Linked DNA regions of Oreochromis niloticus. The protein of the gene in region 2 interacts with the protein of the main gene of each other region in a pairwise test. Links are inferred from orthologs where the notes say so. Each region holds a gene or a part of one and is shown on either strand. Other genes may lie near its edges.

Region 1 (15,800 bases), on a different chromosome or scaffold from region 2:
CATCCGACAGAGTGATGTCATCAACCAAACCTCAAGTGACAACGGTAACAGCTAAACGCTAACATTGAGCTTTAAGAAACACTTTTTTCTGTCTCTCTCTCACACTCACTCACTCACACAGTGTTCAGACTGATAACTTCAGAAATGTCGGTTTTTGGTCCTTTTCTTTAGAGAAATTTTTGAAATGCTACGACCGTTAGTTACAAAAATACTGGAATTCATTCAGTGCTCGACTCCCAAGTGTTTTCCAGGGTCAGAGATTAAATCAGGGCAGGAAAAGACATTTGAGCTCCATTTTTGTCTTATTAGATAATTTAGTTTTTTGATTTAGACAACTCTTTTCCTGTTGTTTCTTTTTGTTTCTAGTTTTTACTCAAGCAGAAAACAAACCCTTTTGGAGTTTTCTAAGTTTTTCAGTTTAAAATTTAGAACATATCAATTTTATGCTCACTTGTGTTTTTTTACACAATTAAAAATGAAATGTCAAAGAAATATTTAATTTGTTTTAATTTTTAATAATGATGTGCATCTCACATCGGACTAAATAGTATTTTACCGTTTACGAGTTTTGCAACTTAACTGATGATTGAACTTGTTGACTTTGTGACAATAATTTGTCACGTTGCTGTACCTTTGCACCTTCACAATGACAAAATAACGACATTCTGACGATTTCATTTCATTACATGGATTTTTTTTTAAAATAAATTAATGACGGAATTGAGAAAAACGTCTTCACTTGTTCATTGCCTATATTTTTTTTTTCTAAACGACAATCAGCTACCTGAAGTCCTTCAGCTGCTCATGTTTGCATTTTTTTTGTTTATCCTAAAGCTGCACAGATTTTATGGACAGAAGCAAAAACCAAGCGGCTGCTTTCCTGTAGTGACTTACAAGGCTCAGAAACTGAATATAATTCACTTTTCACATAAAGATGATTCTGGAACTGAAGATTAGTTTCAGCTTAAGTCTCTCTGTGACTCCAGAACCAGAACTGGACGGCTTCAGCTCGTCCAGTCAGAACCACCCATGCAAGATTTTCCTCTTTTATCTGAAGATTTTTTTTTCGTTTACTTCCAATTAATGGAATTGGATAAAAGTCGTGATAATCAGAAGATAGATATTTTACTCTGAAAACTGTGCAGTCCTCCAGCCCTGGCTTTCCAAAAACCGCTGAAGAAGAGAAGGCTTTGCAATAGAAAAACAATGAAATCTGACTTTTGTTCTTGTGATGTGTCAATGTGATGAATATCACATTTGAGACACATACTGCAGTCTCAAATTAAGATGTTAAGAAATTATGATGGTCTGACAGCACAGGGGACTTTCAGAGTAAAACGTCTGTTCACATTCACGCCTATTTTATGCCCGTCATCACCTTCCATGCAAAATAATATCAGCCAATCAGGTTGGAGTATTGTGTAGTCCTCTGTCCTGATTGGCTCACGGTCTTCCTGTTTACCTGCTCTGATCAAAGACCAGATGATTCAGTGCATGTGTTGCTCACATATTTCCTTGCTTCCTGCTCTCTCATTGGCTTGTTCTGGCGTCTTTTAGCTTTTAGCACCAAAAGAAAGATAAATAGTTAAAACACGCACACACACACGCACACTTATGTGCACGCACGCACACACACACACACACACACACACACACACTCTTCAGTTTTTCCTCATAAAAAAGAAAAAAAAAATCCAAAACAAAACATCAGTCTCTTCCTCTCCTCGCTGTAATGAGGAGGTGAGGGTGGAGGTGGGGGCAAATGTGGCCCATCACCGAGGTAACTAGACGTCGAGGATCTCCTCAGCAGTGCCTCCGCAGCGCAGTCGGTAGCGTCCAGTCCTCCAGCTGATGGTTGGGTCCCACAGAGCCGACAGGAAGATCTGCACCGCCATCGACTCCCTGATAAACCAGGCGACTGCAAAGTCGAGCTTCGAGAAGCACAGAGGGCCGCCCTGTGGTGATGTCATCAACCAATAATCAGGCACATTTTTTAAAATTCTCCTTATTTTTCAATTTCATTGAAATGTATTAATTTTCTTAAATTCGTTTGCATTGTTTTCCATTTAAAAAAAACAAAAAAAACCCAGCTTTTAAATTCAATTAAATGTTTTTATGATTATTTATTGAACTGAACCTTCATATATTTTAATCCTTGTGTTCCAGTTTTTAATTTTTTAAATTTTTTAATGGGCTTATGTTTTTTTTTTAATTTAATTAATCTTACTTACTAAACTGTCATCTTTTCTATTTAAATACAGGCAGAAAATTAACAGAACATTAATATTTTTCATATTATTCTTAAATCAAACTGAAAAAACATCTGTAATTGAAAGCTTCATATTTCTGTTTCTGAATTCTTAAAAATGAAAAAGTAATTATTGTTGAAAAAAAAAAAAAAAAAAAGTCCTTTTAAATTGGAAGTATGTGATATTACCTGCACTCCGGTCAGCTGGATGTAGTCAGATATAAACCAGGCGAGACAGTGACACATGAAGAACACCATCATGTCCCATCTAAAGCGTGCACACACACACACACACACACACACACACACACACACACACACACACACACACACACACAGATCAATATAGTTTCTCTGGATGATGTCCAGATGATAAATCTTTAACTTGTTGTTTGGTGATTGAGGCCAAAGAACAAAAACGCCCAGCCAACCGATGACCTCATCCCTGTGTGGTCGAATATGTACCTGAACACGTAATGAGCGGCCCAGCCGATGATGAGACTGGCGAGGAAGCATTCGGAAACAGGCTCAAGCACGGTGCCGGGAAGCATGTTGATCCTCAGCTTCGTCCACCTGCAGACATAAACCTTGATTAATATCAGCTGCTTTGAGGATTCAGATCAAAGAGGCGATTCAGAATTATGAGTCGGGCTTCAACTGCTACAGCCATCCGTTAGTCAAAAGGCCACGCCCCTAATAATGCTGCTAATAACTAATAAAAACTAAATGCAAATAACTGTTTTTAGTTTTCAGAATTAGTGAAGAAAATAAAGAACACAATAAATGTGAATAAAAAAAAAATTCTTGCTGCATGTCATGGACCAAAAAACTGGGTGAAATGGAGGGAAAAACATCATTAGTCAATCAGTAATGAGCACTGAGGTCACCTGATCATGCGGGACTGGAACTGGCCAATGGAGTAAGACCCAGAATTCTGCAGCGCCACCTGTGTCGCCATTGAGAATTTCCAGCCTCTGCAGAGAGAAAGGGTAACTGTGAAGCGATGCTCTGACAGCAATATCAACAGGGTGCTAATGCTAATGTGCTAACCTGTCAGCGATAGCTTTAGCCATGAAGTAATCCTCAGCAATGTACTGGGCAAAGGAGACCAAGCCGCCGGCCTGATCCAAAACATCCTTCCTCATCAGACATGACATCCCCGTCACGCACTTTATCCCTGTCACATTAGCCGAGATGTATGAGCGGGGGTGAGATGTCCCAAAGTACACCTGGAAACAGGTTAGTGTTAGCATTTGTTAGGATCAAGACAACTAAAGAAAAGAATTCCCATTATATTAGTGTGACTTTACCTGTTCCAGTGTGGCAGCGAAACCTTGGCGGTCGGCAACGTACGGCAACCCATGTACCAGTCCCACCTTCTCTGTCATCTGATTGGTCATATCTGTCAGGGTGTCGGGTTTCACTGCAACACACAAACACAAAGGGAGTTAGCTTTAGAACCAACAATTAAAACAATGATAGCCATCACATCAGTGGTGAAGAACTGACCTCTGATGCCACTGTCGCAGATCCAGACCAGGCCATATTTGGCTCCTTCATAGCCCGGCATCAGGTTGTTGATCTTGGGGTTAATTCCAACTTTCTTCCCCCCTGAGAACCAGAGACATCACATGCTAACGTTAGCCACTGACAGATGAAAAACATGTAAGACAACAAGCATAATTTAAAGTAATTTTTTCTCACCAATGAATAATCGAGCGTCTACATTCGGGTATTTTCCCAACAACTTTTTGCAGACATCAACAGCTGGATCATCTTGATCCTGAATGCACAGCAGGATTTCAAACTGTAAAACCAGATGTATCAGTTAGTCCAAGGAGCGGTACAACAGAGGACAGATGTTTATTATTGGAGCTCAAAGGCTGGTGAATGTTACAGGGTAGACTGAGGCAATGGAAGGTCAGTCTGTGGAAGGACGGGGATTGTAGTCCAGGAGAGTGGGATGGTAATTGGGAATGTAGGGTGGGACAGTAGGATTCTTGGTAGTCAGGCAGTCATTATAGGTTAGTTGGGGGAGTACTAAGGGGTAATTATCTGGGTTGGGAGCATTTAGCTTCACCTTTGGGTAATCCAGAGTAAAGAATGTCTCTAGGTTGGAGATCAGGTTCGGGTCAACTCCTTTTAGTGGCTTCAGCAGAGAAACTCCAGCCAGCTGCATGAACGGCTGTTTGACTTCTGGCCTTTTCTTGTGGAGGTGAAGACGTCTGAAAGAAAGAGGTCAAAGGTCAGCAGGTAAAAAAAAAAAATATCAAAGAAACATTTGAAAAAACAAACAAACAAAAACATTAAATTTTAAATCTATTTTGAGTCTCTGGGTTTATCAGGAATGTAAATCTGCAGCACCTGGTTGAAAAAGTTCCTGTTAGTATGTCCTGACTGTGATGTCTCATCGGGTTAAAAAAAAAAAAAAAAAAAAAGATTAATTCATTCATACAGATTGTGTTTTGTCCAACGTGTGACCTTTGATTTATTTCAGTGTTTTATTTTATTATTAGGAAATCAGTTTGGCCAAAGGCAAGGTGAAGATTTATAGCTCCAGGTTCTATTTAACTTTATTGTTGTACTGGAAAGGAGCCAGTATAGTTTCCTGTATCAGACCTGCTCCAGCAGCTTATTTTAACTATTAAAATTAATGCAAAGTGTTCTGGTCCAGGGAGGACAATGATGGCCTTTTAACTGGAAGTACAAACATGATATCCAGACTGAGGTTTTCCTAGTGAGCTCAAACTAAGCCTGTTAAGAGATTTTAGTTACCGAAATAAAAACAAGAACCAGACATTCAAAGAAACAAAAACTGGGAACTAACTGAACCAAAAACACACATTTACAAAATGTAAATAAATAAATGTACTTCATAAAGGACACAAAGAGTTCCTCCCTTCACATCACAGCGGTCGGCGATCCTGTAAGAATGGATCGACAGGTGCTGGAGAAAAAAGCAGGTGGAGGTGTCTGTATTTCTGTTAATGACAGACACTGCAACAGCTACACACTATCATACTGCTGTGAGGATACCGATGTTCTGTCCTTGTCCTTTAGACCCATCTATGGAGATTGGAAACTTTTTTATAGCTTATTTATATTCATCAGAGAGCAAATACTCGGGCTGCAGCAGAGATAAGATACAGTAAGGTGGGTAGGTTACCAAATGTTCTTTCCAATACCCTGAAATCTCTCCTGAGGAACTTCAGAACATCCTATCAGAAAGAAGAGGAGCCTGGATTTATATTTTAGCAATATAAACGAGACACTACGGGGTTCAGAACACTTCTCTACAAACAGCAGCAAACCTGAGCTTCAATCAGTGAGATATGAATAATGACAGTGCACTGTCTGAGAGAAAGTTACAGCATGGGACATCTTCATAGGGTCTACAAGTCCTGATAAGGAAAAGCTTTGAAACAAAATTAAGATTTTTAAAAGATAAACTATGGGTAGCTGGAGAAGTGAAAGTAGCAGCGAGGAAGCACAAAAAAAACTGTCTGCAGGGGAACAAAAGGCAGCTCGCTTCTTTCTCCTCAGAAAGAGGAAATTAGACAAATAAACAAACAAATTTCACACAGACCAGAGTTGATATTGGGGAACAGCTTGACCCTGGTAACTGTAAAAGCAGAGGAAGTTTTAAAGACTTTTAAGAAGATTACTATTAGAAAAGCAGCAGTAGGAGTGAAAGAAGCTGGCAGATCACTGTATGTTAGAGTGAAAGCTGCAGTATCATCTATTGCCACTACCACAAGGGCCCTCCAGGGTGTACTGCAGTACATCTCCATTCATTACTCTGTGAATGCAGTACATTAACTCATCTGATGTCTTTAATTTACTGAAGGTACAGCGATTGGTGGTTTGATGAGAGGAGATGAAACAGAGTGTGTTACTCTGTGTTTTCTCCAGTTGAACACAGAAGAAATGATTTTTGCTTTTAGAACGAACGGGACGGCTTTGAATCCTTTACAGAGAAGGATTACAAGGTTTGTACTTGATGTGGAGACGGTTGAAGGTGGACAGAAGTACAGTGTGTGTTTTGTACAGACCTTAATAGGTCTGTAAACACTGCAGGTTAGGAGCAACATGGTATGATGCAACTCAGGGAGTTCCAAGTGCTGGAAAAAGGTGTGACATCCTCAGCGATGTCTCACACCCTCCTCATGGTGAATATATCCTCTACCATCAGGACGGAGTTACAAGGCACCACCCTTACAAACAGCTCACACCCAGAAGTCTGTGGTACAGATGTACATACATATACATATACATATACATATATGTGTGTATATATATATATATATATATATATACATATACATATATATATATATATATATATATACACACATATATATATATGTGTGTATGTATATATATATATATATATATATATATATATATATATATATATATATATATATATATATATATAGATATAGATATATATATTTTTGCCAGGTCAGGTGCTTCCTTTAAGACCTGCAGCATTAATTCAGTCTGCCAAGTCTAAATGGGTTTAAATCTAAATTTTAAGTTTAAATCATTAAAACATTTTTTAAGCTGTAAAGATAAGCTCCACAAATTCCACAACACCAAAGCACATGCTCATTTTCAGCTACCCTTATGATGCTGGCACAAAGGTATGGCTTTCCATCCATCTACAATGCTTATCTTCTCCCCTTGCTAAAAGTTAACTGATTTAGTCATGCTCCGTGTACAGAAGTATAAACATAATCAAAACCCTAGAAAATCATGGAATTAAAAAGTAAAAGATAAAGCGGATTACAGCCGAATTAAAGAAAGGCTCATAACACTTAAATAAAACACTAAACATATACTTCATAATGTGAGGGAAACGCGCCTGCTGAGTGAAAATACTAAAATCCTATTCTTATTAAGTGAGATTCTGCATTAAGAGGAAGCACGAAATTAGGTGCGTAATAAGCTACAGAAACGTCAGCTGAACAATTACCGCCATTTAAAATATTCTCTACGAGGAAATACGGTTACTTCAGGTTCCTTGCTATCGATTCACGGTTTATAAAACTATAATTAATTACGTGATTTAGTTTACTACAACCTGAAAGGACCGCAGTAACCGGAATATCCCGTCCGAGCTAACATTACCCGGCTAGCGGTAACCAGGAAAACGCCCGAGCTAACCGTCCAGGCTGCACATTCACCTCCTGTCATACATCCACAAACCCGTCCCCAGGAGCAGGAGGCAGCGCCTTATTTCTGAGTTTAACCCCATTCACACATAATCACGCTGGGACAGACAGAAATAAAGGAAGGAGCTGTGCCGAGGCTAGCCGTTAGCCACGTTTAGCATCGCTCCGCGGTGCACTCACACATAGATGATGGACATCAAGTGCATGAGCCACAGCACGAAGAACAGAATGAAGCCGAACACGGCGAGGCCCTGCATGGCGAGGTCCAGCAGGGCCATGGCTGTCAGCGGAGGCTGCTTAGGAGGTGGGCCGGCTGGAGTCACACGGGCTCGGGATGGAGACGACCAGCTGACCGGTCACGGAAGACAGGGAGAATCCGACTGAGATAGCCGCGACTTTGGCGTGTTTAGGCCAACAGTTGCACTTCTGGATCACAGCGGAGGGTGTCAGGTGGCTGCCCGAGAAAGAAGCTCCGATAACATGGCCAAAGCAGGGCTCGGTCCGGTGACGGTTGCCTACAAGTATCGGTGCAGATTCGCAGGGTTTGACAGTCAGCAGACCGACTCTTGGTCAGCTGACCGGAATAGCGGAGGGTTGGGGGATAAAATCTGTTACCAGGCTTCCGGGAAAACTTCAAAATAAATAAGTAAAATAAAGCTGTTCACTTAAAAACATAAAAAGCATTAGTTTTTATTCGTTGTTGTTGGTTAGGTTAGGTTAAATAAAATTTAACCTAACTTTTCTACTTCCTTGAGCGCTTTTATTTGTAGTAACATCTACTGAAAAGTTGATCTAGTTAATTTTTTGTTCCTGGTTGTGTTTCCTGTTTTGAGTTGCGGAACTCGGGAAATTCCCTTTAGGGGTAACTAAAGTTTGTTTATGGTGTTTTACTAATTTTAAGTATTTATTATAATGGTTTTTATATTTTTTCTGTTTAATTTATCTCTTTTATAACTAAAAAGAAATAACTAAATCCAAATATTTTCCACCGTTTGCTTCAGAAACATCTAATTTGTTAATACATCATTCATATGGGCCATGTGATCCTCTGAACATATTAAAAAAGGTTAGATAAAAGGTGAAGGATCACTTAATGATCAATGTAAAGGCTTCTCGGGCTCTTGTGAGAAACAGGCATGCATTACCTGATCAGGTCAGTCACAGCAACCCAATGCTTGCTTCATTTTCCTGAGACATTTAGCAATGGGTGAAATGAGAGGTGATGACCTGTGGAAACCTTTTCTTTACAAAAAAAAGAAGTCTAGTTTCACCTTCATCGGGTGACTCAACAGGTTCAGAGGCTGTTAAGTTTGATCACCTGAGCAGGTAACTTGAATGTCTACTACTTTTCACACACAGCCAGTGAAGGAAAGAGTGATTCACTGAAGGGTAGAGATCAGGTTTCGTTTGAGGAAACATGAAAATTTAAAGACACAGAAATGTTATCTCCTGCATTCTGCTGAAATTTTACTCCATAATTTACATTTCCTGCATTTTGTTGTGGAGCAAACATCTTTACTCACGTAAGAAAGAACAAGCATCAGTTTAACATAATCTGGAATACAACACAGTGACATGGTTACCCTTCCAGAAGACAGATTAACCCTGAATAATAAACTGAATTGGGACATAGTAACTGGATATACAAATGTAATATTCTGTCCAAAAATAACATCTTAAGAGCTTTTTTCTTCCTTGGAACTCAAACTCTTACCATGATTCTGACAGAGGTTTAAATGAGTTTTTCCTGTACTTATAAATCTCATAAACTTTGTTCCACTTTGGTAAACTGCAGCTGGTGTGCTGAATGCCAGAGTGTGAGCTACAGCTGTTGTGCAGATTTATTATCTGGTTCAGTGTTACACGCTTTACTTCATGTCCTTTTGTTTTTATCTCTGGTGACCGCGCGTGCTCTAGATTTCTTAAGCTTCTTGGATGACGTTGTTGGTTTCACTGGAGATTTGATTGTTTGACACAATCCCAAACATGATTCACATACAGATACACTCCGCCTCTGTAGCCGATCATGATCATATCTCACTACAGGAGTGCCTGCAGGGACATGAATGATTATTCTAAACTCCCGACAGTTAATATTTTCTTTGCTGAGTCAAACATTCAGACCTTCTGCTGTCTTTATGATCTCCTGGTTTCAGAGGTGACGACTGATATCAGGGCATTTTTATCCCTTTTGTTTGAGAAACCAATTAATCTACGATAAGTCCAATCATTTACGTCACACATGTGAGTATTTGTAAAATGTTTTTTTACGAAGTCTGCATCGCGTCTGTTTGACGCCCGATAACGAGGACAGGAAACATCTTCAGATTAATCAGTAAACTGACAGGAACAAATCTTCACCTCGAAGCACAGCAGTTCAGATCTTATCAGATTTTCAGCCTTTTGTCCTCTTTCTAGTTCACGTTGAGCACTTGCAGGAATTTTTGGTTCATATTTTGTGCGTGAACCAGACGCCCTGCTTCCTGCTGGAACACCAGCACACCGGACTGAACCTCCTCACGTGGACGGAGAAATCTTTAAACCTGGGTGCTTGTCTTCATCCAGAGGAAGATGATGTTTCTCAGTTTCATCTTAACTGCAAAGTTCAGATTAAAATGTTACCACCAGAGGGCAGCATTTCTTCAGCAGGTGTGTGCACTGCTCTTATTTATTTATTTAACCTTTATTACAGCTTCGGATCCTCCATCTCCCCAACATTTACCTTTCCCAGCCTTCCACTGTAGATACAAATATAATCTCATGACTTACCTGGTTTACTCAAGGTTACACAGATTTAACCTTAATCACTGCTCCACCTTGTGGTATAAATTGGTATCACATCAAATGACAGCACAGACACGCTTTACCTTCAAGTTGATAGCTCTTCAAAATAACACACAGATGTTTTGGACACAAAGTTTTACAGCAGTTTTTTCTTCACATTCTGATGATGGTTTTAGTTCATTTTGGAAGATTTTACAGCATTCGTACATTTAGTATCTAGCATTTAGTATCTTAGCACCAAAAAATTAACGTGACCATCAGACTCAGTCAACACAAAAATATAAATTTAAAACATGTTTTAAGCATTACATGATAATTAGTTTTTTTTTTAAATATTGTGTTTTAAATGAAGAGAATTAAGAGTTAAACTCCAAATGATCTAAACACATAATTATGGCTCCACCCACCACAAGTATCTGTGTTTTATCACATTTTTTTTATTCAGGTTTTCCCTCAGACAATGTGTTTTCTGGAGGTTTCTTCTGAGTGGACCATGAACACTCAGCGTTCTCCTTCCAGTTCGCCTCCTGCGTGTCATAAACTTCCTGTTGATCACAAGCACACAATCAATAATCAATAATCATTGAATGCTGCATCGATCGAGCTGATAAGACTGGCTCTGACGTCTCACCTTTTTCCAAATGGGGACATTAGCCTTCAACTGGCTGATGCAGTGCTGGATCGCCTGCTGGCCGTCATGGCGGTGAGGGGATGAGATCGCCATGACAACACTGGCGTCGCCCACCTTTACCCACCTGATGGGGGAAGCTATGTGTCATGTTTTTTATTTAAGTTAAAAAACAAATGTAACACCTGCATGCCCCCCCCGAACCTGCCACAGTTAGCATGTTAGCGCCCTCACCCGAGCCTGTGGTGGACGCAGATGTGTGTCACGCTTTGCCAGCGTGCTCTGATGTCAGCACACAGCTTGTTGAACTCTGATTGGGCCATGGGCTCATATGCCTCGTACTCCAGTCCAACCACCTTCCTGCTGTCTGCCTCATCCTCGCGAGTTGTACCTGTGCACACGCATAGTACGCACGCGCGCGCACACACACACACACACGCACACACACACACACACACACACACACACAAACAAAAACAAAAGTTTGTATAGCCAGCCATGTGAGGACTCATGCCTTCCCCCTCACCGACACCTGGTCCTGAACCACTAAACAGCTCTTTGTAGTCTGATGCACAGTGAGGAGCAGCTAGATGTCAAAAGGACTACTCATTGCTGTTACTGATACTGGTTGTTGATCAGGTGCTTTAACAAACCTCTATATGATTTTTTGTACTTTAATTACAAAACAATAATAATACTTTTGGACAATAATTGTAGAAAATATTAAGACTGAACAGTAAATCTGTCTGTTGTGTTTCAGAAATAAAAGCTGAGTATTTTAACCCACCGGGGTCGACGGACTCACCGTGTCCAAATCACACAACCGATTTAAAATGACATAGCAACAAGATGTTATTTTTAAGTAAAGTATTTTTATCTGGGTTTTGCAACAAATACTTCAGTTATTGTAAAGCACTACCCTGTAATGTATTACTTTAGAAAAATAATAGTATAAAACATACTTTCTTTGATTTTCTTTAAATAAAATAACTAGAAGAGCTTCTTAAAATAATAAAACTCCAGCTTTGTCATCAAATGTTTATTTTTTTTAACTTTTTCTTCTTTCTTAAATACTGACATTTCACACAATTTTCCCTGAAATGTTAAAATGCTGTATTGGAACAATAAATAAAAAGTCAGCTTTTATTTTTCTAAAATGCCTGTACACAGATGTAAAATATTTGAAGGAAAACTGAGAAGATAATAATTAGAAGTAATTCTAAGAAGTAAAATTTTAAATATTTGGTCAAAATCCCAGATTTTCTTTTCCTCTGCAGCATTTGACACTTTACATCAACAATCTATATTAAATATCTCACTTTCCTCTTCATCAAATGCTTCTGACTTATTTTCCTCTAAAATATTTAAAAAACCTAAAAAAAAGTTTAGAAATGTGATATATTGCTATTTATTTCTAGAGTATTTGTACAAAGATCGAACAATTCAAATTGAAAATAATTTAACTAAATAAATATTTTAAAAATAAGTACATTTTTCATGTTTTCAGTTAGAGTCATATTTCATTTTGACTTTTTCAATTCTAAAAATGATTCCATTTCACTGAAATAGAACTTCTTCCTCAGAATATTCAGTGATCCATCATTTGTACACAAATAAAAATCAAACCAAATAATCACCATAAAACAAATGTGATACTAACTCAATAATGCTGTTACATTTTATTTATATAACGCCAAATCAAAGATGCTTTATATTGTAAAGTAAACACCCCACAATAAAGTAAATGGGAACAAACCTATAAACACTGAAATGGCTCCACAGGAAGGGCTGCTGACAGCATCGACCACTTCCTGCACAGAGAGCCAATCATGGCTCAGCTTGAAGACATCTCTCGGCCCCTTCGACATCTTTGGGAAAAAAAAAAATGCAGTTTAGATTAAACTTTTGTCGACTCCATCCATCCATTTGCTTCTGCTTATCCTTTTCAGGGTCGCGGGGGGCGCTGAAGCCTATCCCAGCTGTCATAGGGCGAGAGGCGGGGTACATCCTGTCGCAGGGCTAATAGAGACACAGACACAGAGACAGACAACCATTTGCACTCACATTCACGCCTGCATTCACACCTATGTAAGGGAATTTGGATTGATCCATTAACCTATCCCCACTAACTGCATGTCTGCGGACTGTGGGAGGAAGCCAGAGTACCTGGAGAGAGCCCATGCAATCACGGGGAGAACATGCAAACTCCACACAGAAAGACCCCGGCCTGTTGGTGGAATTGAACTCAGGACCTTCTTGCTGTGCGGCAACAGTGCTAACTATCGTGCTGCCCTGGCACGGTGGCAACTTTTGTCAACTCTTTATCGTGAATTTATTGGATTTAAAGTCACAACAGGAAAATATACTTTTATTTTTAAATTGTGCAGTGAAACAGGAAGTGAAGAAGGAGCAAATACCTGAAATGGACCTTTTTCTTAATCTCTGATCAGTAATTACTTACAGTCTCGAGTCTCTAGCCCCCGCTGAGTGGCGGCACTACGGCGACTTCGTCTCCGTCTCCCAGAGTCAGCACCTGGTCGCCGATGGGAACGTACTCCTGACGCACTGCCAACACAACACCGTCCTGCAGCGTACACAGTCTGGACACACAAACGTGTTAGATGCTGACTCGTCTTCACACGCGTGTTTATGTGTGCCCCCCCGCCCGCCCCTCTTACCTTGGGTGCCGCTGTACCAACAGCTTCCAAAGGTCGTGGCTGCTGATTGGTGTTGGCACGGCAACAGTCTTCTCTTCCTTCACACCCGTCAGCTCGACGCTTTTAGCGAAGTACAACACGCACACCTGAAGGAGAAAAACTATGAATCCATCAGAGCATTTCACATTAAACAGCGAGTCCTGAGTCTTTCTCAGGGATTCAAACTTCCTGTTTCCTGTGTGGAGTTTGTTTTGTTTTTTTATTTATCTGAAGCTCACAGATTTTGTGTCAAAAATGTGCTTCATAATAAAACAGGAACTTCATTAAAAGATGTTTTTCAATCACATGAAGCTGAAAATTGAATTTTCCAGCTCAAACAGAAGACTTTCTTTACGATACTGTGGTGTAATGCTGAAGCTACATGTCCCAGGAAACCATGAACAGGAACTCACAACACTGCACATGTCAAACGTCTGGGAAATCTGTTCATGTGTTTATTGGATAGAAAACATCAAAAAGCTTTAGGATCAAAGCATTCCTGATAATTTTCCCAATCACCACCATGTACGTTTCTGCTAACACAGGAAAACTAAAACTGCTTCCTGTTTGTGTTTGGGGACACGATGAAGACTTCGTCCTCCTCCTCCTCATCATGACGGCTGATAATGAATGATGGTGGAAGATATTTACATCAAACTCAGTTTTTAACCATAAAATTCTGACTTTTTGCAGGTTTTTTGGCTTTTTTAAAAATCATTTTAGTAAATGTTTGTTTTTAACCAAAAACTGTCATTCTGAATTAATTACATACTTTATCCTCCAAATACTAAATATATATTTTTTAAGACTTGTCTTTTTTTCCCCCCTTAAATACCCTCTTAACTCATTAATTCCCCAGATTTATTACAAATTCTGAGAGTTTCTCTAAAGAAGCATCATAAAAAGATAAACAGGGGTCAAGGCTCATCCAATAAAGTCAATGTGGCCTTCAGCTGATTTCTACTGATACCCTTCAACTGTAAATCAAATTAATTCATACAGTTTGGTCATGAAAAAGTTAAACACCCACAGACTTCAAGCTCAGTTGAATTCGTGGTAACCAGCATGACTGAGGAGGCCAGAGTGGCCGAGCCTGTGTAGCCCAGACTCGGGGAAATACCCGTCATGCCTCTCTGAAGAGATCGTTCTCCAGCCTGTGCAGCTCATCTTAAAGCATGACAAACTCAAAAACTGCAAAACAAATGGAAACGTGTTGGGAATTTTCTACCCTCACCGTGAGCTTTACACCTGTGGCTACATTTCTGAGGTGTACTTTGTATACATCTTTGTAATTATGTATACTGGTTTAAAGTAGCTTGTTTATCCTTAAATATGCTGTGTATCTTATAAAGGTGGCCCAGAGATCAGGTTTAGTAATAATAAAGGACTGACTCTCATGTAATCTTGAAACTGAGTGCTGACACTTTTTTAAATAATAGTGTAATAATAATAGTAAAGTCCCTTTATCCAATCCACCCTTTAAAGGCGCTGATCCTGAAGGAACATTTTCTTTATTTCTTTTAAAATTAGCTTCAATTATAAATGAGCCTGAAAATTAAAGTTAAAAATCACATTAGGCCTTTGACGTTTACCGAAACTGTTACAGACGTGTTTATTTATTCAGTGCAGCTCGGATGTCTGAACATGACTCATTCTACTGTATTCACTTCTACATTGTTGTGTGTTCAGCAGCAGCAGGGAGGACAGAACACAGAGGCATTCAGGACATTAGAGCTGCCACGATTAGTCGACTAGTCACGATTACGTCGACTATCAAAATCGTCGACGACTGATTTAATAGTCGACGCGTCGTTTGAAGCTTTGTAAGATCACAAAAGACGCAGGAATAAGTAGTAGGATTTAAAAGTGTAATAACGGACTGAAACAGAAGATGGCAGCAGTGCATGTAAAGGATGCCAGCTGCCGTTAAACCCCGAAGAAGAAGAAGCTGTGTCCCAGAATTCATAGTGCGGCCCAGCGCAGTTGTCAACAATGGCGGCAGCTAGTTAGTTTTAATATTACTCTTATTATTCTTTCTGGGTCACAAAATAAACGTTTAACATATTTTCAAGCTGTAAGTTTTACGTCCAATCGATGCATGATCTGATTAGTCGACTAATCGCAAAAATAATCGGTGACTAGTCGACTATCAAAATAATCGTTTGTGGCAGCCCTACAGGACATGCATGTTCCTGGAAGTGATCAAACACCTCAGTGATTCCTGAGATTAGGGACAAAACAGGTTTTAATTTTCGAAAATATATTTT
Region 2 (15,876 bases):
TAATCCTCTTAGTCCACTACTATGGTATAGGTCCCATCAATCGTCCCACAGGCAACAGCACGATAATCTTAACACTCACTGATTCACTGTACAAATGCTGTGCAGTGGGAAGCACTCAAAGCCACTAAAAACTGTGAAGCGAGGTGAACTCCCAAACTGGGAACTGCTCATGCTCCTGTTGATTGTAGGCAACACCCCCACTACTTCCATCTATATCAAACATTTTTACATAACAACACAGGAAATATAGCAACAGTTCAACAGCACGTTCAACAATTAAGAGGCTTGATTTCTGTCTTTAACTGCCATGAGGGCAGCTGCTCTGAGAAGCCGCTTGACAAACTTGGTGGAGATTGAGGGCACTTTGACTCTGCTGATCTGATATAGCACCCAGACAATGAAAAAAACCCCACAAGGCTGAAACGAATGCCTTACTGCAGTTGGGACAGGATTGGAAATGACAACAGAGGAATTCTCAGCTCACACAACATAATCATGTCACTGAAAGGATGGCGCAGTGCTGTGAATGGGCAGTCCCTTTGTTGTCCTCCGTGCAGCCAGTGCAGCTCTGAAACTAATGCAGCCTGACAATCTGCGCTACACCAAGGCATGGGCTCCTAATTATCAGGCAACACACAAATGTGAGCACAGATATCAAAAGGGTTTGGAGTTGCAACATGAATATATTAGCACTGGAAATAAAGGTGCACTGAGCCGCCTATACGGCAGTCATTCAGTGTGCAATAAAAATGAAAAAGCATGAAAAAGGAACTTTGAAAATGAGGAGATGCAAAAAGAAATGTCGCTTTTTTACCCCACAAAGCATGCCTACAGACTCGAGCATCATGCTGCCTTACTCCTTGCAGGCAGCAGTGCAGGAAAGAGTCAAAAGACATGCTGCTGATTCCATGATCCGTAGAACAAGCTGAACTGAGATTCAAAGGAGCACTTTGTCTGTCTGTCTGCACTGACCGAGCACACAGAGACCCTCAATAGTCCCAGTCATACAGTTAGTTTCATAAGCGTTTGGACAACGACTTTTTGGGGGGAATTTATGCCTCTGTACAGCCCACATTGGATTTGAGATTTTTTTAAAAATCAAGAGGTGATTGGAGATGGGTTTTCACCTGTAATTCAAGTGCTTTAACTAAAGTACTGGATTAACTGTTTAGGAATTACAATTGTCAAATTAAGCAGGAACTTGCATTTGGTATCACTGGAACTCTCAATATGAGGTCCAAAGAGATGTGGATGCAAATGAATGTAAATACAAATCGTATACAACAAGATGAAAACTGGTTATACTCAAGAAGAAGAAGGCCAGACTGGAGTTTGCAAGAAAACACCTAAAAAAGAGAGAATTTGTTTTCAGATGGAACCAAGGTTAACTTCTACCATAATAATCGGAGCAGAATAGTATGGAAAAACTGAGAGACAGCCCATAATCTGAAGCATACCATCTGTCATGGTGGGGATAATGTTATGGTATGGGCATGTATGGCTGCCAGTGTAACCGGGTCACTAATGTTTATTGATGACGTGACTGCTGATAAGAGGCAGTAGGATGAATTATGAAGTGTGCAGGGCTGTGCTCTCTGCTCAAATTCAGCCTAATGCTGCAAAACTGATCTGACAGCTCTTCACAGTTCAGATGGATAAATACCCAAAGCATACTGAAAAAGCAACCCAGAGTTTCTCAGAGCAGAGAAATGAGATATTCTTCAATGGCCAAGTCACCTCATCTCAACCCAACAGAATGTTTTTTAGTTACTGAAGACCAAACTTAAGGCAGAGAGACAAGCTTATCAAGGGAGGAAACACAACATGTGGTGATGTGCATGGGTTCTAGACATCAGCCAGTCATTTACTGAAAAAGATTATTATCCAAGTATCAATAACAATCTTTATAGTTAAAAAGTTTCCATTCATTTTGAACTTCTAAATATTGGGGACTGTGTATCAAACGTCAGTTAAGGCAATACTTTTGAATTAAAGCTGACAGTCTACACTTAAAAAAATCTTTATTGTTTGAGTTCAAGTGTTGTGTACGGAGGCAAAATCCCAACCCCCCCAAAAGTGCAGTTCTTCAAAAACTTATGGACATATGTGTATTTCAGCTTCTCCTTTAGGCATCTCTGACTTCACAGCTCTGTTACGAATCCATTACTCCACCCATGACCCTCTGAGCAATGGTGTTATTTTTCAGGTGTTCTCTTTCACCGTATGACCTTGTGGAAACGGCTCTATTACTATGCTCTTCTTTCAAACCCATCTGTGCATTTGGGGCTTGAACTTCCTACAAGTTGTCCTTTCTTTACCGGAAAGACAAAAACTGCACACACAAAAAATGCTAAACATGGATTATATTCAAAGACATGTGCATGTAAATTTATTTAACTAACTGGTGGTATTTTATGAAGAAAGTTAAGTATTTGCCTTTTGTGATTGATGTGGATGATTGAAATTATAACTCTATGGTTCACTATGATTTCCTGGTAGCTGGTATAATAATAGATTTCTAAATTGAGTCTTTTGTATGTCAGTGTTTAAATGAAAGCCCAGTTAAAGTTGTAATGGTCTTTGGCTCTAAAAGCTCTGGCTATTACATTTAAGTTCATAATGTATGTTTTACAATATCCTTAGCTGTACAAACAGATGAATACCAATCACTGAGTACCACTTTTTAATGATGCTAAAGAAAGAGAAAAAAAGGGGAGCACACAAACGGCCTATACTGAGAGCTGAGGTCGATAGGAGAGCAGCTGGGCAGATGGATTCAAGTGCTCTGCTGCATTGATCCGAAATGACGAGGGCATACAATTACTCTAAGAAATGTTTGGTGAATCCACCACTCTTTAAAAAAAAATCACTTAAGGCCACCAGGACAATTGTTATTGTTCCAGCAGCCTCTGTCAAAAATAAATCCATTTAGAGGCAGTTTAAATAAAATCTATCCCCATTTAGACAGTAGCTGTTGTACAGTGCTTGTCTTCCAGTGTATTGATTCTAGCTTTCCTGCTTGGATGAAGCTTTATGGATGAATAGAGAGAATGTGGGAGGATCCAGACCGAGCGTCTGCACACCGCTCTCTTTGGGTCAATTTAGGGTGACTTTGAAACGGCAATTCGCTTTTAAAAGTGCGGATGCAGGTAGGAAGGCAAGCTGACAAAGGCTACTATAATTTACACGCCCACGCACACAAAAAAACTAATGGTCAATGCTCGTTGTGAGTGCCTTTGTTGATAGTAATTCTAATCCCGAGAGCACTTTCGCACTACGCCCAGGGATTACTCAGGACTCTCTGCTCAGCGCTAGAGAGCTGGTAAGATCAGATACATGGCATCATGTTTCACATGTTGGCTTTGAATTGTCTTCCGGGTGAACACATGGGATCTAAAGGCATTAGAAATGATGACTTATTGATATAATGAGTGCACTAATGCTTTTATATGGTCCCTCTGCAAAAGAGCTTCTTGAGTTTGGTCTACCACACCTTTATTTGTCCTTATATGCCTCAGCATTAGGTAACAGGTCCAGGAGACTGTAAATCCAGATTACACATTATTAAAACTAGTGCCAACTCAGAAGGACTGTAACCCAGGTTAATTCTTTAAAGCTACAATTTACAGGTGTCTGCTAAATGTGTCACACACAGACAAGCTGAAAATTATGGTTGTGAAAAGAGGACTGGCATAAGGATGCATTAATTGAATATAAACATTGTCGTGGAGAACGTGGCGATTGTGGATGCCACTCCTCCTACACACAGAATGGAGTAGTCAGCAGTCAATATACGGGAAGCATGGGTAATAGACAGCAACTTGCAGCCAGAATATAATATGGGCAATTATGCACGGAACCTCAGGTTCATCAATGCACTTGCTCGGGTCTTCAGCATTGCATCCATCAAGTTTGACTGAGTTATTGAGATTGCTGAAGAAAAGATGGACAGATGAACTATTATTAAGATATGTAAGGCTCATGCAACAGCAGAAAGACTCACAGCAGATACCAAATTAAAGTTAACCTTAAAGGAAAGTGTCGTCTATCATATTTTTACTTTTTCCCATCACGCCGGCCTTTTGAAACACCAGCCTTGTCATCACAGCCTCACCTCTCTAACCATTAAGCCCCCTTCTTTCTTATTTTATCTTGCATCTTTATCATCTGCTCTGAAAAGACCTTGTACTGCTTACCCCCTCCCCTTGGGAACAGCTCTCACGGCTAAAAGCACTGTGCTGGCTTATGCAGTCCACTAAGTGCTTTTTCTATCTCAAAGATATGGAAAAGTCCCAGCCAGACATATGCTGTCTCATCCTTGTCACTGATCTATGCTAAAAGGAGAAAAACGTGAGTCTAATCCACCTATCAGCCACTGGATTGGAGTAGAAAGTTTCTTATGACCGATGTGCTATTTCAGGTTGTGATAAAATGATGCACCAGGAGGAGTTATGAAAAAGTAAAGGCAGCGTCACTGTTTGTGTATCTTATGTGCTCAGTTTTTTTCTTCACTGGCAGAAATCGGGCCCAAGCTATCAGAAACACCATCTGCTAAAGAACAACCTAAACCCGACTGTGGTGTTCTTGCAGCACATCAGACCTGGTCAGAGCTCCTTCCGCTACTTCCTTTTCTCGTGACTCTTGAAAATTTTATAGGATGGGAAACTTTTAGATCAAAGAGGTTATCCGATCCGAGGATAAGGTTCTGCCCTGTGGTGATTTAATACGGCTGAAATCAGCATTATCGGGGTCTGTGGGTACATCAGAGCTGTGAACATGATTTAGAACAGGCATGGATTGATTATCCGGAGAAAGATACAGCTTCCCGTCTCATTATGCTCAAAGCCAAAAAATTCCAACCTCAAAACTATATTTTCAGCAACGCAGAGAAGAGAAAAAGAAAAGCATGAGTGGACTTTTAGGAGTGAATGTCTTTGACAAAGATCAGACTGGACAATAACATGACTACATAAGACTGAAACGTCCTCTCTGCCCTGCTAGATGTGATGAGATCTGCACTGTTCCCACCAAGAACATAAGTGACAAAGTGGATTACTTCACTGGTATGGATACAGCTCAATGGGAGTCCAAGGAACAGCACAAAGCTATTCTTTTCCTCTTAGGAACCAAAATAAAGTGTGTGTGTGTTTGTCTGCATGCACCTACCCATGTTTGAGCCTGTCTGGCACAGAATACCAAAAAGTAGAGCAAGTGCTCTGTTTACTTCTTCTAGAACACAAGGCCAAACGCTGACAAGCCAGTTTAAAATGTCACACCGACTTGCTTTAAACGCTTCAGCAGTGTTTCTGTGTGTTTTATGTCAATTTTCCAAACGGTTTTCCAACTGCACAATTCAGATTTGAATACTGTCATGGACAACTCCGTGCATCAAAGGATTAAAGTCCAATTTAAGCATTCAGCTATGCTGTTGTCCTTAAAGGATTTACCAGTGGTTACATGTTTTCTTTTCTGTTTTGGAGCAGCTGCTGCAGAAGCAGCAGCAAGTGAAATGTGAAAAACCTGAGCAGCAAGGAAGAAAAACTGGGCAGCTCTTTTTTTTCCTTCTTTTTTTAAAGCACAAGCTCATGAATTTTTCAGTGGATTGGTGAATAAAAGTGCAGGGCTCTAGTTTTGCTCGCCAAGCGAACAGTGAACCCTGTTAAGGATTAAAAATAGCAGCATGAGCTGAGCAGTGCTGAGGAGAATGATGACGGACCCAGAACCAGCGTTATCTTATCACAAAGTCCAGCATCCAGCAATGTGATGACATCACTGACACTGTCCACGGAGGTGCACACAAAAACTGGGATGCATCATGTAACCCCTCTCTCTTTGTGTGTGTGTTTTTTTAATATGCATAAATATAAAAGACAGACAACAACCTCCCTAAAGTTCCCAAAACCTTTCCAAACTCATCTAGTTTGTGAGTTATTATTATTATATTATATTATATTATATTATATTATATTATATTAGGTTCTTTCATGTTTATTCATCTATATTAAAAACGTGTCCTCTCTGTTATCCATTCTTTTTTGTATTTTTAGTTTTGTAGTTTTGTTACTGGACTAATGAAATCTTATGCTTAAGGATTAAGCTGTTCTCTTTCTATCCAGACACTGGCTTTGTAAGATAAGGGGGCTTTAGGCCTGTAATCTGTAGCCTCACCTTCTCAACAAGCAAATATTTCTAATATAGTTGTAGACCAAGCCCACATGTGCGAGATGATACAGTAGTTATGGGAGTGAACAGGCCATTCAGAGTTCAACAGGCTATTTGGTAATGCCTTCATCCCAGCAGATTCTTGTCTCCTGAGCGGAAAACCACTCGGTCATGAGCTATATGACGTTTCATAACTATAAAGGGCTGTTGCCGAGTTTAGTTTGGAAATATGTCTGCCATTTTTCCCCCTACGGCATCACTGAAGTTGCTTCCTCTCGGCTTTGTTTTTGTTTTCGAGCTCGGAAGTTTTATCCCAGGCTTACAGACAAGCCGTCTGTCGTAACGCTAAATCTCTGATAAATGCTCTCGCCCGCGTCCCTCACACTGTATTTATTCACACCGTAACATCGTCCTGTTACCTTCTGAAAAAGAAGACACGTAACGTGGCTAGACTGATTATAAACTGTCACATATTTCAGCATTTAAGGGCAATAAGTGCAAGCTTTACCTGTAGATGCAGTTTCCATAGCAACGGGAGGCCTTTTCCCGTCGTCCTGGAAAGGATGAAATTGTTGATCCAGGTCGCCCAACGCGTCGCCGCCTCTCGGCTTCAATTCTTCGCGCAGCTCGCCGAAGCGGCTCTGTGTGTTCCCAAACAGGCCGTTCCTCTCATAGTCATCCCCAAACCACTTCCCCTCCGAGCCTAGCTCCTCACCGGGCTGCGCAGACATGCCTTTTTCCTGTCGTCGGACAGATGATATTATACTAGCTACACAAAGCTGCTGCCGCTTCTCTCCCTGCCGTAATCGTTTGCGCTAGGATGTGTGACGGAGAAAACCGCGCAACAACAACAACAACAACAGTGCGGCTCCTGGTTGGCGTCTGTCAGCTGAGACCGGGGTTTGTGGACGCCACAGATGAGGCGGTGCGGTCGGGAGCGAGAGGAGAAGGAGAAGGAGTGAGGTTGATTGTTTTAGTTCACTGCTCCGACGCTGACGTCATGGTGTCCGCGAGCCCTTACGGCTGGCACCACTTTATTTGGGACACAGTCAAAGATCAAAAAGGTGTTTTCGGGGTATAAATGAGGTCAGAGGATTCAGTCAAAGCAGTGCTTGGCGTTGGTTTGTGAAAATAGCGACAGTTAGCTTATTAAAACTGGACACATGGCCTAAAGAGGAGAATAATAAAGATAGTGTCTTAATAACGCGAAAAGAATATGTGGGTCTTTTTTTTTCAAAAGTGGCAAAAATTCCTCATGTATCCCATGGTAATGTTTTAAATGGAGAAATACTTGTGTGAATTTTATGGTTTGATGGTTAAAAAAATGTACCTTGCCATATGGCGCCCTCATGCGGCCGCTTCTAATATGAACAGGACCTCAAAAAGTTTCAGTTTGTCTTAGCAACCAGACGCTCTTGCCTGGATACAGACTGATGGATACAGACTGATGGCTAACACTGGCTAAAGCAATCAGCGAGGTTTGCTGCTGTTCAGTTCTCCATGGAAAGTAATTTTGATTTAGATGTACACTAAATTTAGCCGCCCGATATTTAAAAGGTCCTCTGTCGTACTTACACGGATAATATTTACAAGCACAACGTTAGAAGCTAGCACAGCTAGCACTGATGTGTGGTGACTTTTCGTGCTCTTACTTGCTGACCTCACTTATTACAGGTAGGTTTACCTGTACTAACTCTCTACTTTAATTTGTCCGTTCGTTTTCTCTCAGTAAAAATAAAGCAGGGTATTTTCAGCAACATATTTTTAATTCACTGCAGCGATATGTTGTCGAATGAGAAGCAAAAGAACCGCAGTGAAGAGGAAGTGATCAAAAAACTGGTAACAGTCACATAAATATTCAGTTTTGAATACGTATAAAAAGTCAATGGGGGTTTCTCATATTTACTTATTTCTTTATTGTTTTTAATTAACAGTGCATGGCTAATGGAGTGCCCTATGAAAAAATTGCACAAGAGGGAAGCAGCATCACATCACTGGAGATGTTCTTCTCTGGTTTCCCCCGCATGGTTGGCCTCTCCTTCTTCCCAAGGCTGTGTCAACTTACCATAATAGGCCAGAACATAGAGCACATTGATGGACTTGAGTGCTGTCCTCTGCTTCAGGAGCTCTGGATAGTCCAGTGCCATCTGACGGTGTGTTTGCTATGCTGATAAATGCTGATAACAACAACTGATGATAGCTTGAATCATTGCTGTCGTATAGAAATTTGGCCATGTGGATGCAACTGAAGATTCTTCAGTAATGGGTCTTTTTCACCTATAAAATATGAAATATTAGTTCACACCACCATTGAATCGTGTGTGTGTTAAGCATAATTATCCCCAGCTGACAAAGACACACATGCAGATGTTCCTGCAGGCAGGGTGATAACTATGAAGGAGCTGGAGTGAAAAAGGAGGAGGTGCATGGATACACTGATTTTTTGTCTCAAAAAGTCTGAAAACCGTGGAAGAAATATGCACTATATGATCACTGACATGAACAGGTGTCACGTGCACATTTAAGCATGTGTGTTTTGTGACACATGCATCAAACAATCTATTTTCTCTTTATTGCAGGAAATATCTGGACTACAGAACTGCCTGCAGCTGGAGAAACTGTACCTTTATGAGAACAAAATCAGTGAAATAAAGAATCTGGACTTGCAGGTCCACCTAGAGGTGCTGTGGATCAATAACAACTGCATAACTAAGATTAAGGTTAGAGCTGTATCTCCTTGGCTTTTCTGTGTTTGTAATGCAAGATTTTTAAATATTCAGCAGAAGAAAACTGCTCTTTTACACACACTGTGCAAAAGTTGTGAGCCTCCACTCATTTCTTTATATTTTGCTAGGAAAATGGGAAATACAGCAGGTGCAGCAATTTATTGAAACATGCAAACATATGATAATATATGTCAAAAACAGAGTTTGTACAATTCTGAAAAGTGTGAAAGTCAATATTTGATATGACCATCTTAGGGTAGGGTAGGTAGACCTTTACTGCAATGGTACTGTGTTTGGGATCATTGCTGGAAAATGAAGCAGTTGCCAATGAGATACTTTGCAGATGGTATTGGATGGTGGCTCAAAGCCTGATGGTACATTTCTGCCTTAATAATTCCATCAATTTCAGATGGTGTAGATAGTTTTTTAAGGTCTCCCTTTTTCCCCTCCACTTGTCTGGTTTTCTCAAGTTTTCTCTTTTTTTTTTTTGTAAAGAACCAATTTAAAAAGTGCTTAGAGACAACACTGGTTCCTCCCATGAGGTAGGTGCTTTTTTCAAATACTTGAACGACTCACGGGTCAGTGATGAGTGGCTAAACAAGCAAACATTGTTTTGAAAATGATCGGGTATAAGGACTGGACTGAAAAAGAGTGAAAAATCAGCCAATTTCCAAAGTAAAACTTTGAAAGACCTTCAGAAAGGCTTAACTTAGTCTCCACATGCGGTTGTTGTTGTTTTTTTCTCTTAAAGGGCTTGGACACACTTCTAGACCTTAAAGAACTAAACCTTGCTGACAACATTATTGAAAAGATCGGTATGTTCTCAGAATAATTTGTGTTCAGTTTGATGGAGATTCGGTGAGCTATGTGAAAAATAACGATGGCAATCAAATAATTTTTAACTTCTTCTAAGGGCACAGCCTTGATCCTAATGTCAACCTTCAGAAACTCAATCTGTCTGGAAACAAGATCAGCTCCTTTAAGGTGAGATTCAAAATGAAAACATGCTTTTGAAATACTTTCTCTAAAAACTTTTCTTACTTATTTTGTAAAATCTTATTAAAATCCTTGGTCTGACAAAAGGGCATTTCTAAATTCTTGGGAGAATGCCGGGGTCTCGGCTAGTTCACATTTTCAATCATTTCAACAACAGGCGTGCAACGCAAGACCTTTATTGAGGCATTGAGCGGCATAATTTCAAATTTTTTTTGCCATTCCTCATTCAATGATATACATTCATGAATGCGTTTATTTAAATAATATATCTTGGGAGACTGCCTAAGAGTTTTTCTGTTTTTAATGTGCAGGTTTGTGTTAGTTACACATTTTAGGCATGCTTCAGCTGAGACGCGCTTTCACAGCACATGTGAATATTGTTTTTTCAAGGACATTTTGACAGGAAGCACAAAAGGTTTTGTATCTCTGTGTCTGATTGGTTTAACACCTCAGATCTTGCTCCTGCAATCCACCTTTAGCCCTAACCCAGCTTATTATCTTATTCAAATCTGTGGCTTGACAAAGGGCATTCCTGAATTCTTGTGAAACGTCGGGGTCTGGGTCTGTTCGGATTTTCAATCATTACAACAATATGCTGTCTCAATAAGACCTTCAATAAGGTATTAGGCAGTATAATTTTGATTTCTGCCATTATATGTTTAGTGATATACATTCCTAAAAGACTACGTAGGTTTTCCTTTTTTTTTTCTCCAAGTTGGCAGTTTTATATTATACATTTGATGGTGTACCTGCCAGGCTCATTCAGAAGACTCTGATCATTGTTGTTCAAGGTCATTTTGTCAAGAAACACAGAAAAGTTTTGTGTGCCCTTCTCTGATTGACGTAACGCCTGAGATCTCCACCTTTTTCTCTGCACCTGGCTTGTTATAAAAAATACGATTATCACCATTCACTCTAAAGACCCCACCGTAACTGCAGGATCAAGAAAAAAATCTCGCCACCATGTCAATACAGCGTGACATCTCTTTTTTTAGCTCTTCTTAAGTGTAGGGAATGTAGAGAAGAATAGAAGTGCTATCGTCAAGATGATGTATTGAAACATCCATTTCAGTATGCAGCGATCAAGACAGTTTCTTTATAATTACTAATATTCCAGTGACTTCTGGAAATGTAATTTATCATATAGTGGGGGGAAAATATATGCAGTGTCATTGTCTTTGTTTAAAATACTTTAAATTTTCTGTTTCTGTTGAGAACAAAAAAATAGTGTCCTTTAGGGTAAACGTACTTAGGATATGCAGAAGCTTTGCTGTCCTAGTAAGTAAATAATATTTATTTAGAAATCACATGTAAACATAGCTTTCATTGACCAGGTTTTGTACAAATGATCTAATCCTATATACATGCAACCACGTGTAATTACAAACATCAAATAAAAAAGTAAAAATTGAAGACAGAGTACAGATTAAAGGGCTAACAACAAATGTGCAGACACATAACGACAACAAGCAGAGTGGAGCTTAGTGGACTGGAAAGGTCAGAGAATAAAGGTGGTTTTGAGCCTAGACTTAAAAGCAGAGATGGGGGGGGGTCTTTTTATGTCATGCAGTAATTTGTTTCACAAACGTGGAGCAGCGGCTGCAAAGGCTCTGTCACCTTTTTGTTTGAAGCATGACCTTGGGATGTGTAAGAGATCTCTGCCAGTAGGATCGGAGAGATCTGGGAGCTGGATGTGAACAAATGGGATTGTTGATGTAAGCTGAGGCCTGCCCATTATAAGAGCCTTAAAATTTGACCTTGAGTCTTGAATCTTTTGCTGTAACAGGAGTTGAGCCACCTTGCCCGACTGCCCCGTCTGAGTGAGTTAGCATTGAAAGACCCCACGTCAACCCCAAACCCGGTGTGTCTCCTTTGTAACTATGAGACCCACATTCTTTACCACGTGCCAAGCCTCCAGCGACTCGACATCTATGACGTCTCCAGCAAGCAAATCAAGGATGCAGCTGAGGTACTGATACGATCCAAGATCTGCAGAACTAATTGACTGGTTAAATCCCTTATAAGCAGCGATGTCAAACTCAGCATACTTTGATGTTAAGTGGGTCTTACGAGTGAAACTCTTCCGATCTGTCGGCATAAAGAAGTTTAGCTGCACAATAAAAAAGGTGCAATTTTAACGATACATCTGAGTTTTTTATGCTGCTTTGGGCTTAAATTGTTAGAAGTAAATTTGAAATAAACGTTTGGTATAAAATGGAATTTCTTTTGTTAATTGACAGAATGTCTTTTCTTCTTTGTCTTTGAATACATACATAAATATTAATAATATATTTTTTAAAAAACCCAAATTTCTATAGTAGTAAAAAACAGTAATTTTCTGTTATTTGTGTATTATTTATTTGATTTGGTGTTTATCTGTATTAAAAGCTGCAAACCTTTTAAAAATACAGTTAAAACTTTATGTAAAATTTATGTCCTCCTTCACATTTTCCAGAGCCATTCAGTGGGCCAGGTTGTCTTTGGTGGGCTGATTCTGGCCCCTGTGCCTTATGTTTGACACCCCTGCCTTATAGTATTTCTTCTAGGTTTCTATAAAAACAAGCTATACTTTTTAGTGGATGTATTTTCTTTTCTTGTTTTTCTTTCTTTTTCCTTTCTTTACTTTGTCACATTTGATATTTTTGTTTTATTTAACAGTTATATTTGATGCATCTGTTATTTCGTTTTAGCCTGAAATAAGAGTTGTTTTATTTTTCTTTTAGTCTGCAGTGATGAAAAAAATGATGTACTACAATATGCGTGTACGCACAGCTCAGAGGAAACTAGCAGAGACCCGGCTCAGTCTGATAGAGAGGAAGAAAACTCTATCGCAGTCGCCTGAAGAATGCATCAAGACTCTCACTCGTGCCCTTAAATTTGTACGTACTCTCCATAAAATGTCTTTTTGTAGCAGCTCTAAAAAGCTTCAGGTGTTTGTGTGCACAGAACGATTATAATTTGGATGCATTTCTAGCTCGAACGTGAGCTCTCCGTGGGGCCAGTTAGTTGCAAGAAGCCTGCCTGCCTGTCAGAAAGCGTAGCAGAAGGGCCACCCCACCTGGATGAAGGATTAACAGAAAGAAATGAATCAATCAGTGACATCAGTCAGGATCCAGTCACGGAGCACAAAGTACACGCTAAGATTGAAGCACTGAGGGAACGACTCAAACAGTGGACCAGGAGGCTAGATGAGTGAGTTTGCATCTTTCATGAGATACAGAGACAGTGTATTATTGCTTTATGTAAATTGATCTCTTAGGGGACAGCACAGAGCTAAACTGTACTTTTAATCTGAAAAATTGATGTTCCTCATCTTATATTCAGGATTCACATCTGGTACGAGCATGATTTGGCCCGTGCCACGAACAGGATGGAGTATACGGTGCAGTTTCTACTGATGGAGCTAGAAAGTGTTGGAAATATCCGTTTGGAGGAGGGCTGCTCCACAGATCCTTGGTACTTTTACTGTTCAGTATCATCCACTGTAACTGTAACCACTGTGCAATTCACAGTAACAAATGGGAAACATACTGTCCTTCTGTTTTTTTTGCTCCGACCGACAGGTTTACTTCTTGTTGTGACCTCCTGCTTTCCCGCTTCTCTCCATCAGACTACAAAACATATGGCATCACTGATATTAGGGTGGATAGAGTTATCTGCATCCACAATAGTGCACTGAGACTTTGCTTCGAGGACAAGATTCACAGTTTACTAGCCAGCGAAGATTTATCTTCCCAGTAAGGCTCGAAACAGAATGAGCAGATTTTAACGACTATGTTAAGCCTCATACTGTAACACAATTCTTTCTAAGCAGGAATTACAGACGTCAGCTGGAGTATTTATTCTACGTAGTTGACCCTGAAAAATGCGAGAAGGATGAAACTTTGCAGATTCTCCAGGAAGGCTTCAAAACAACAGAGCAGCAGAAGGTGTGTGTACTACCAGAAAGGATGCACTCGCTCCTATCACACATATTTATTCCACTAACAATTAGGGGAGTAATTGAAGCTAATTAGCCACACATTAGTCAGTTTACCACTCAACACCTGCACACTTGTACACAGTGCAGTAAACGATATGTGCAAAAAGAAATTAGTACGCTCATTTATGGAGCAGATTGCAGTGAATACTAAAATGAGGGAAATTGTGAAACTTTGTGTGCCTGATTTGTGTCTGTGTGGAGAAGTAACCACATCAGGGTTACAGAAGAATGTGCTTGACTTGTGTTATTCTCACGCTTTCACTTTTACACCATGACTCTCTAAATTAGGCCAATGGAAAAGAGGGTGCTATACCTTTTTCCAATAGCCTGAGTGTGAGCGAGCGATCCAGAATTGAGTACGCACTTCGCCAGACCAGCCAAGGTTGTACTAAACACAGCATGGATACGATGCCCTTCAGGCACGGTGAGGTCATTTTACTGATTTCATTATGTTTCTGCTGTTTTTTTAGAATCTAAACTGCTAATGCTCTCTTGCTTGTAGGTCAGGTCATTGTTTCCAAAGTGTTCGTGGGTAAAAGCATGCCCATCCGAGATGGAGAACCGGTGGACAGAAGCAATTATCCTGGAGTTTACTCTGTGTATCGCAGTGTGGAGACAAAGCACAGATCTGCAATGAGTGAAGGTATTCACTGAATTAAAAGGAACAACAGCAGTTGCCTTTTATGTAATTGTTGTTGTTCATTTCTGCACTCCCTATTATTTTTACATCTCTGTGTCCTTTTCATTCAGAACGACCCGGCTCCACCAAAACACACGCTGACCTTGAGTCCAGTCCCCGCCGAAGGCAGTGGTTTGTGTTTGACCGCGAGCTTGTCCTGCCCGAGTACATCATATATTATGAATACATCACTCAGGTAAATTATCGCGTACATTCCTTTGACTGTTACAGATGAAACACAATTGTTCTCTGTGGAGGTGTTTCTTCATCTTTTAATATTTAGATATTGAAAAATTGCTGCATTATTTAAAGCGATAACATGCCTTAATCTCAGTTTCAATGGCTATGGTTTAGGAAGTGCAGGTAATTCAGTAATCACAAATTTGGTGATGCCCATGTTTCTCGTGGGCAAGGTACTGAACCTCAGCTAACCTTCAATGCATTCATCGTGAATTGGATGCCATAGATCAAGCACTTAAAGTTCCTATTCAGAAAAACTGAGGGCAGATCTGGAGTTTGACTTTTGGTTCTTCAATTATTGACATGTAATGTTTTTACTTTTGTCTGTACAGAGCAGGTCATTCATCTGCTGTCTGTGACAGATCTAAAGTATGAGCCATCATTATTTCTAAGAGTCAGCTGCATTGGTTGGAAGCCTCTAAATAGATGAAGGACATTTTTTATTGAGGTTGGGGATCAGACAGCTGAGCTGCACTTTTCGCGCTACATTCCTTGGTTTGATGGGTTTGTTTTCATGTGGGAAACTAAACAAGAGTTTAGAAACATGAAATTGCAGTTGTTTGTGCAGGTTATGTTTCTGTGCATGCCTTATGATGAGTACAGTGGCTTGCAAAAGTATTCGGAACTTTTCCACATTTTGTCACATTACAGCCACAAATATGAATCAATTTCATTGGAATTCCACGTGAAAGACCAATACAAAGTGGTGTACACGTGAGAAGTGGAACGAAAATCATACATGATTCCAAACATTTTTTACAAATAAATAACTGAAAAGTGGGGTGTGCGTAATTATTCAGCCCCCTGAGTCAATACTTTGTAGAACCACCTTTTGCTGCAATTACAGCTGCCACTCTTTTAGGGTATGTCTCTACCAGCTTTGCACATCTACAGACTGAAATCCTTGCCCATTCTTTGCGAAACAGCTCCAGCTCAGTCAGATTAGATGGACAGCGTTTGTGAACAGCAGTTTTCAGATCTTGCCACAGATTCTCGATTGGATTTAGATCTGGACTTTGACTGGGCCATTCTAACACATGGATATGTTTTGTTTTAAACCATTCCATTGTTGCCCTGGCTTTATGTTTAGG

The links.
Region 1: the proteins of rtn1a (region 2) and ugcg interact in a two-hybrid assay, tested with the Homo sapiens proteins (2 studies listed by BioGRID and IntAct). The link is inferred for Oreochromis niloticus from reciprocal best matches to the Homo sapiens genes RTN1 and UGCG.

The regions. Positions count from the first base shown.
Region 1 is NC_031972.2:35,405,341-35,421,140, forward strand, and holds the start of ugcg (ceramide glucosyltransferase), read right to left. Parts: upstream 8,023-15,800; 5' UTR 7,704-8,022; coding exon 7,606-7,703; intron 4,474-7,605; coding exon 4,329-4,473; intron 4,056-4,328; coding exon 3,953-4,055; intron 3,860-3,952; coding exon 3,758-3,859; intron 3,672-3,757; coding exon 3,559-3,671; intron 3,478-3,558; coding exon 3,299-3,477; intron 3,223-3,298; coding exon 3,136-3,222; intron 2,822-3,135; coding exon 2,714-2,821; intron 2,517-2,713; coding exon 2,438-2,516; intron 1,956-2,437; coding exon 1,785-1,955; 3' UTR 1-1,784. Other genes in the region: molybdopterin synthase catalytic subunit, read right to left, coding at 10,647-10,754, 10,841-10,964, 11,072-11,228, 12,594-12,705. UniProt on the Homo sapiens protein: Participates in the initial step of the glucosylceramide-based glycosphingolipid/GSL synthetic pathway at the cytosolic surface of the Golgi.
Region 2 is NC_031983.2:11,747,609-11,763,484, forward strand, and holds the start of rtn1a (reticulon-1a), read right to left. Parts: upstream 7,149-15,876; 5' UTR 6,894-7,148; coding exon 6,671-6,893; intron 1-6,670. Other genes in the region: lrrc9 (leucine-rich repeat-containing protein 9), read left to right, coding at 7,945-8,001, 8,097-8,315, 8,742-8,882, 9,640-9,703, 9,802-9,872, 11,671-11,853, 12,608-12,763, 12,859-13,076 and 6 more. UniProt on the Homo sapiens protein: Inhibits amyloid precursor protein processing, probably by blocking BACE1 activity.